2 linked regions of the Macaca fascicularis genome follow. The protein of the gene in region 1 interacts with the protein of each later gene in a pairwise test. Links are inferred from orthologs where the notes say so. Each region holds a gene or a part of one and is shown in the gene's direction. Other genes may lie near its edges.

Region 1 (3,500 bases):
TTTTGAATTTTCAAAATTCTTGTAATGAAACAGGTTTGAATGTATCTTCGATGACCAGATAAAATGTGGTCACCTTCAACTGGGAAAATATTCTGAAGAAAAGTTTGAAGAGAAAGAGATAAAAAAAAAAAATAAATCATGATGAAAGTGGAGAGAAGTAGAAGGCATTAAACTTTATTAAATATAGATGCAATAAAAATAGAATATTAGGAATTAGATGAACAAAGGAACATATATGCTGTAGGCATGAAGTGCTTTAAAAGCGGCAATAAAGAAATATAACTTCTTTGTGACCAACATGCATGGCAATTTTCAGTGAACGCTTAATAACCTTACCTAACTTCTTTGGTTTTTGATATTTGTTTGTTTAACCTATTTAACTTTTCTCAAAGTTGTCTCCTGATTTTATTTATACTATATTCTGAGGTTTCAATATGACAATTCAGGCTTTATCTATAACCAACTATTTGTGTGTTCTGCTAAAAGATAACCAATTCTTAAAGTAGTATTATTAAGATAATATTAAAAATTGTTTTCCTAATAATCTTTAATATTTGAGTAATATATTCACCGTAAATATTCACATAGAAATAGATCTGCTTTTCCCAAATAGTTTCATGTAACTCAGATAACCCACAGCTCGCGTATTCTGCATGACATTAATCAGTATTCCAAAAAAGTGGGAGCTCTGGTTCAATTGGTTTGCAAAACATTGCATGTGCTATGTAGCTTCCTCTTAGAGTTTTACAGACCCCATCGCCTACTAATGGCTCTGAGAGGGCTTAAATAAAATAGTAATACTGATGATGCTGTTAAACCAGATCTATTTCCTAAACAGTTTGAGAAATGTCAAAATATGTACTATTAATTACATGATTGAACTTCTTAATAGATAATTTTACATTGTTACATCAATTAAGGTACAACGTAATACTGCAAAAGAGTGTCTCCTCAATTCTGCTCCCAAGTAATCATCCCTATATTTGGTAGGGATTTATATGGTCCTGTGCTAAACTTTACAATTACAGGCTGGAACCTGGATTAACAAGCTCTTCCCTATCACTTCCTGATATTATTGAAGTTTTCCTATATTTGCAATCCCATTCATTCCCTTGGCTTTTTCCTTAATCTTTTAAATCCACTGCCAGAAAATCCCCTTTGAATCTTGACCCAACCAATCACTATTTGGAAAAAGTTCTATTCCTCCCAGTTTACTTTTGCCCACTTTCCAACTTCACCCTTTAGCTCTCTCCTATTAACATACCCTTCCTTTGACATCCAAGCATTCCAAATTCTTTGGGAAGCTCTTCTTTTCCTTCCTTCCTTCCTTCCTTCCTTCCTTCCTTCCTTCCTTCCTTCCTTCCTTCCTTCCTTCCTTCCTTCCTTCCTCCCTCCCTCCCTCCCTCCCTTCCTCTCTCCCTTCCTTCCTCCCTCCCTCCCTCCTTTCCTCCCTTCCTCCCTCCCTTTCTCCCTCCCTCCCTCTTCCTCTCCTCTCCTTCCCTCTCCTTCCCTTCCCTTCCCTTCCCTTCCCTTCCCTTCCCTTCCCTTCCCTTCCCTTCCCTTCCCTTCCCTTCCCTTCCCTTCCTTTCCCTTCCCTTCCCTTCCCTTCCCTTCTCTTTCTTCCTTTCTTCCTTTCTTACTTTCACAGAGTTTCACTCTGTCACCCAGGCTGGAGTGCAGTGGCGCAATCTCAGCTCACTGCAACCTCCGCCTCCCAGGTTCAAGCAACTATCCTGCCTCAGACTCCTGAGTAGCTGAGATTACAGGCATGCACCACCACACTCAGCTAATTTTGTATTTTTAGTTCAGATGGGGTTTCTCCATGTTGGTCAGGCTGGTCTTGAACTCCCGACCTCAGGTAATCCACCCGCCTCAGCCTCCCAAAGTGCTGGTATTACAGGCATGAGCCACCGCACCTGGCCGGGAAGCTCCTCTTTCTATCCTGTGTTCAGCCCAAACCTGCTCTCAGTTTTCTCACATATGAGAGGAAATACAAATTTGTGCCAAAATGTAAATAACACTCCCCTTCAGCGACATATTGACATTTTGATATGGAACAATTTTTGTGTCTCTCAGGACTGAATCTTGTGTAGTGTAATTCCAGCCTCCCTCCTCCCCAGCACATAGGTGCTCTTTATTCAGCTCAGTTCCACATGTCCACACTGAGGCCTCTGGCAGACTGGAGGAAAGTTGGATAGCTCTTGGTCTACTCGTTGCTACACATTGAGCTTTCAGGGCTGACTGATGAAGAGGATACTAAATGCCAGTGTCTTTAATATAAGAAACTGTACTAGCACCAAATAGCGGCTTCTTTGTATTAATCTACATGGAAATCTGCCTTTTCTTTGATGTGCAAATAGTGACCTTGGTGGCTTTGCATAAATGTCTTTTGGATCTGTCATCTACTTGTAGATTTGGTTTTCAACCTCTGGCAATTTTGATTTAGCCACCACTTATTTACATTATTTGAGTACTCCTGGTTCATTCAGCATTCTACTGTTTGTCAACTATGTGCCCTTGGGGGATACTGTCTATGTATTTGATTGGTCTCAAACATAGCTACCTTAATAGTAAGCTGCTGCCTGTCTTTGCTCACAGGGGTGCGTCTTGACAGAGTACGTGGAGGTCGGCAGAAGTACAAGCGCAGAATAGATGCGGAGAACAGCCCATACCTGAACCCTCAGCTGGTTCAGCCAGCCAAAAAGCCATGTAAGTACAGCAGATGTGTCTGGCTTCCCAGAACATGAAATCCTCCCAGTTGGCTCTATGTACATCAACTTTGGCATGCCCATCCCTACTGACTCCAAGGAGACTTCTCTTTGTTGGAGAACGGTGGCTCTATTCCCAAGGATTGTCTGTGAGGAGCGACAGGAACTCACTTATTATCTTGTTTTTTCTTTTAGAGATATCTGTGGTTTTCTCTCTCCAGCCTTTTTTTACCTAGTCATTTTGTGGAAGCATAAGCATATTAATGCATAGCTTATATAGTGTGAATTTTACATTTACTGGTTATCTTTATTTGCAGAGGTACATAAAATGGATCATACTGTGATCATTAGTTCATTGGAGCTGTTAGATTCAGATTTCACAAGAAAGTGATTTTTGTAGTTTTCACTAACTAAATGAGTTTGACTGCTCAACCTCCCAATGAAAATACATTAGGGGCCTCATTAATTTGGAGCTATAGAAGGTTAACACACTAGCTAGCAATAGATTAAAACAAGAATGGGCACTGCTAATAACAAGCATAGGTTGCTGGTTCCATCTGAGGTGCCCTTATGTACGGTATGCATTGTTTTTAAAGAGCTCATGGTTTTATGGAGCCAAGCTGCAATTTGAAAGGATGACTGGTACATTGCTGAAATGCAAGCCCCCTGCTTTTTGCCATTAACTAAAAAGAGTTGGAATATAGATTGAGGCAATCACTGTATCCCATTTTCTGAAAATCAGTTAGTAGTTGTAGTGCAACAGAACTAGCGTTTTCAGATGTTTATGAATAG
Region 2 (3,964 bases), on another chromosome or scaffold:
CTTACCAATGGAATACTTTTACAAGGATCAAAATTTCTCGCTGCAGCCATGAAAAAGAATGAGAGCTGGCGGCCATTATCCTTAGCGAAATAACGCGGAAACAGAAAACCAAATTATCACATGTTCTCACTTGTAAGTGGGAGCTAAATAAAGAGATCACATGGACACTAGGAGGGGAACAACAGACACTGGAACCTACTTGAAGGTGGAGGGTGGGAAGAGGGAGAGAATGAGAAAAAATACCTATTGGATACTATATTACCTGGGTGACGAAATAATCTGTACACCAAACCCCCGCGACAAGCAATTGACTTATATAACAACCCTGACATATACTCCTGAACCTAAAAGTTAAAAGAAAAAAAAAAAAAAACCATATACTAAAATGAAAACGATTCTCACTGTAACAATATTATCCCCTCGTGATTATTATATTCCTAAGTTTTAGGCACTTTTACAACCTGCTCGCTGCCCCCAGCTCTCTTAACACAGCATCCAGGACATAGTGGGCGCTTATAAATACTGATGGAATTAAACTGAGCGCTTATGCTAGCATATTTAGACCAGTGCTTTTCAAACGTCAAGGTGCATGTGAATCCCTGGGGACACCGTTAAAATGCAGATTCAGAGTTAGAAAGTCTGGTTGGAGCCTGACATTGGGCATTTCCACCGAGTTCCCATATGATGTTTGTCTATGTTCTGTATTTTTCAAGGTCTCAGAAAATGAGACCTCCCTATCCATATACAAATATGAGTCTCACAAACTGTGAAAATTTAATGAAAGTTTACAAAGAGCATAGAAGTAGATGTTTCCTCTTTTCCCCTACCCTCCCAATAAAGGGAACAAATTAGATGCGAGGTTCAATGGAAAGAGTTGCAACAGCATCCAGGCGCTCGCTCTCCTCCGGTCTTCCTGAGAGACAGGGAAAGGGGTAATGAGAGGAAGGAGGGAAGTGTCCAGGAGCTCCCACGCTGCTGTTCCTCTTCCATTTTCAGCTTTTAAAGAACACCCGCCCCTTCGAACCACCGAGGTCATGGGCGAATACACCGGAGCGCAGCACCGCGCCCCCCCTGCCCGCCTCCGCGCCCTTGCCCAGACCGAGGCGGCCGACGCGCCTGCGTGCGCGCTAGGTATAAATAGGTCCCAGGAGGCAGCCACTGGGCAGAACCGGGCTGCAGGAGCCGCGGGCCATGGCGGGCGAGAACCACCAGTGGCAGGGCAGCATCCTCTACAACATGCTTATGAGCGCGAAGCAAACGCGCGCGGCTCCTGAGGCTCCAGAGACGCGGCTGGTGGATCAGTGCTGGGGCTGTTCGTGCGGCGATGAGCCCGGGGTGGGCAGAGAGGGGCTGCTGGGCGGGCGGAACGTGTCGCTCCTGTACCGCTGCTGCTTTTGCGGTAAAGACCACCCACGGCAGGGCAGCATCCTCTACAGCATGCTCACGAGCGCAAAGCAAACGTACGCGGCACCGAAGGCGCCCGAGGCGACGCTGGGTCCGTGCTGGGGCTGTTCGTGCGGCTCTGATCCCGGGGTGGGCAGAGCGGGGCTTCCGGGTGGGCGGCCCGTGGCACTCCTGTACCGCTGCTGCTTTTGTGGTGAAGACCACCCGCGGCAGGGCAGCATCCTCTACAGCTTGCTCACTAGCGCAAAGCAAACGCACGTGGCTCCGGCAGCGCCCGAGGCACGGCCAGTGGGCGCGTGGTGGGACCGCTCCTACTTCGCGCAGAGGCCAGGGGGTAGAGAGGCGCTACCAGGCGGGCGGGTCATGGGGCTTCTGTACCGCTGCTGCTTTTGCGGTGAAGACCACCCGCAGCAGGGCAGCACCCTCTACTGCATGCCCACGAGCACAAATCAAGTGCAGGCGGCTCCGGAGGAGCGGCCGAGGGCCCCCTGGTGGGACACCTCCTCTGGTGCGCTGCGGCCAGTGGCGCTCAAGAGTCCACAGGTGGTCTGCGAGGCAGCCTCAGCTGGCCTGTTGAAGACGCTGCGCTTTGTCAAGTACTTGCCCTGCTTCCAGGTGCTGCCCCTGGACCAGCAGCTGGTGCTGGTGCGCAACTGCTGGGCGTCCCTGCTCATGCTTGAGCTGGCCCAGGACCACTTGCAGTTCGAGACTGTAGAAGTCTCGGAGCCCAGCATGCTGCAGAAGATCCTCACCACCAGGCGGCGGGAGACCGGGGGCGACGAGCCACTGCCCGTGTCCACGCTGCAGCCCCATTTGGCACCGCCGGCGGAGGCCAGGAAGGTGCCCTCCGCCTCCCAGGTCCAAGCCATCAAGTGCTTTCTTTCCAAGTGCTGGAGTCTGAACATCAGTACCAAGGAGTACGCCTACCTCAAGGGGACCGTGCTCTTTAACCCGGGTAAGGGTACTGGCCTTGGGCGCCGGCTTTTCCCAGCTCACAAAAGCATCAGGCAGTGCCTATCTAGGGGCGCGGGCAGTAAGGAGTTTTCAGTGATCAGGAGAGTGTCGGGACAAAGGTGAAGAAATCATGACTAACTCAGCAGAGTTGGGGTGGGGGGCTCCAGGAACCACTTCTCCTGAGTGGGCTGCTGTCAGAAACTCAGCCAAGAGGAGGGGAGTTGTTTGTTTAGGTTTGTACTTAGCTCTTTACACGTTTCTTACTACAGAAAAGTTTGTGCCTTCATGGGAAATGGTTATTCTTTCTTTAGCTTTCTTTGAAGTCCAGAGCATATCTTTTTCTAAAAAAAGTTTTTGCTCACTGAAGATTCTGCGACATCGATTTCTGAAACTCCATTCTGAAATTTACTAGAACCTTTTTTTGGGGGGAGGAGATCTATTAGGGCTAGCAAAAAAGGAAACATTTGTTAAAGGGTCCCATAGAGAGACTATTCCCTAGGGACACTGTCAGACAGTACACTGGATGTAGTGTTTCATAGGCCTGCCTCTGAATGGTTATTTGTATGGTCCTAAGCATCTGGACTATCCCTTCCTCCAAATCTCTGTGAAGAATATCAGGTTGGCAAAGGGATAAGAAAAAAAAAAAAAAAAAAGTCACTTTAGGGACTGAGAGCAGGAACACTGTATTTTAGAATTCAAAGAGACTTTAGAGACCTCCTAATCAACCCCCTTTGCTCTGTAACCTTCCCCCACCGCATTTTACTGTGTAGGTGGATGTGTCCCAAGGTCCCAAGTGACCTTACTCCAAAGTAAATGGCTGGTGTGTTGTGGCACCTGAGGGTCCTATCTTCTGGGCCCTGTGGGATGTCGGCTGCACCAAACTTTCAGGTTGTCTGTTGGGTGCAGGACACACTGTCCCACAGGGTGCAACCAAATCACTGGGGGAACATCTCCCTGGACAGCCAGGCACCTTGTCTTGGGTGTTTCTCTCTACTAGAATCATCTTCAACCAGCGTCCTTTTGAAATGATTGAAGTGGAAAAAAATTTTCCAGGCAACTTGAGTTGGGATAGTTTCCATAATGCTCCTTTTGTATCTTTTCCCTGGTGCTGGAATCTCTGATTATGTCCTGGCCCCCTGCCTAGCATTTTTGAGAGTGCATAATATATATAAATATATTTAATATATATATTTAATATATTTAAATTTATTATATGGGATATACAAAAGACAAACAGCAAAGAGAGGCCACAGTCTCAATAGGCGTTACCTTTCTCCCCAATATAGGTACATTTGAGTTTCAAACACACTCAGCTTAGCTGGTTAAACTCATACTGAGAAAGGATTAGGAAAAGTCAATCAAGAACAAGGAAGAAGTGTGCGTGTGTGTGTCTGTGTGTGTGTGTGTGTGTTAAAAGTATATAAAACAGGGTCAAGGGAAAGAGGGAAACTATTGATACTGAAACTAATGGAATGTAAATTTCTGGAAGGTGAGCCCCTTTCACCTTTATATCCCAACAGGACAAGGAACGTAGTGGATGATTAATAATACTAGCTGAAGGAATAAGAAGACTGTTTTCCAAATTATCTTGAGAATCATCTGTGAC

What was found. The genes of interacting proteins can lie anywhere in the genome.
Region 2: the proteins of ESRRG (region 1) and NR0B1 interact in binary tests that used the Homo sapiens proteins (3 or more experiments, as listed by UniProt). The link is inferred for Macaca fascicularis from reciprocal best matches to the Homo sapiens genes ESRRG and NR0B1.

What each region holds. Positions count from the first base shown.
Region 1 is NC_088375.1:74,372,874-74,376,373, reverse strand, and holds part of ESRRG (estrogen-related receptor gamma), read left to right. Parts: intron 1-2,598; coding exon 2,599-2,709; intron 2,710-3,500. UniProt on the Homo sapiens protein: Orphan receptor that acts as a transcription activator in the absence of bound ligand. Binds specifically to an estrogen response element and activates reporter genes controlled by estrogen response elements.
Region 2 is NC_088395.1:30,316,413-30,320,376, reverse strand, and holds the start of NR0B1 (nuclear receptor subfamily 0 group B member 1), read left to right. Parts: upstream 1-1,164; 5' UTR 1,165-1,191; coding exon 1,192-2,359; intron 2,360-3,964. UniProt on the Homo sapiens protein: Nuclear receptor that lacks a DNA-binding domain and acts as a corepressor that inhibits the transcriptional activity of other nuclear receptors through heterodimeric interactions.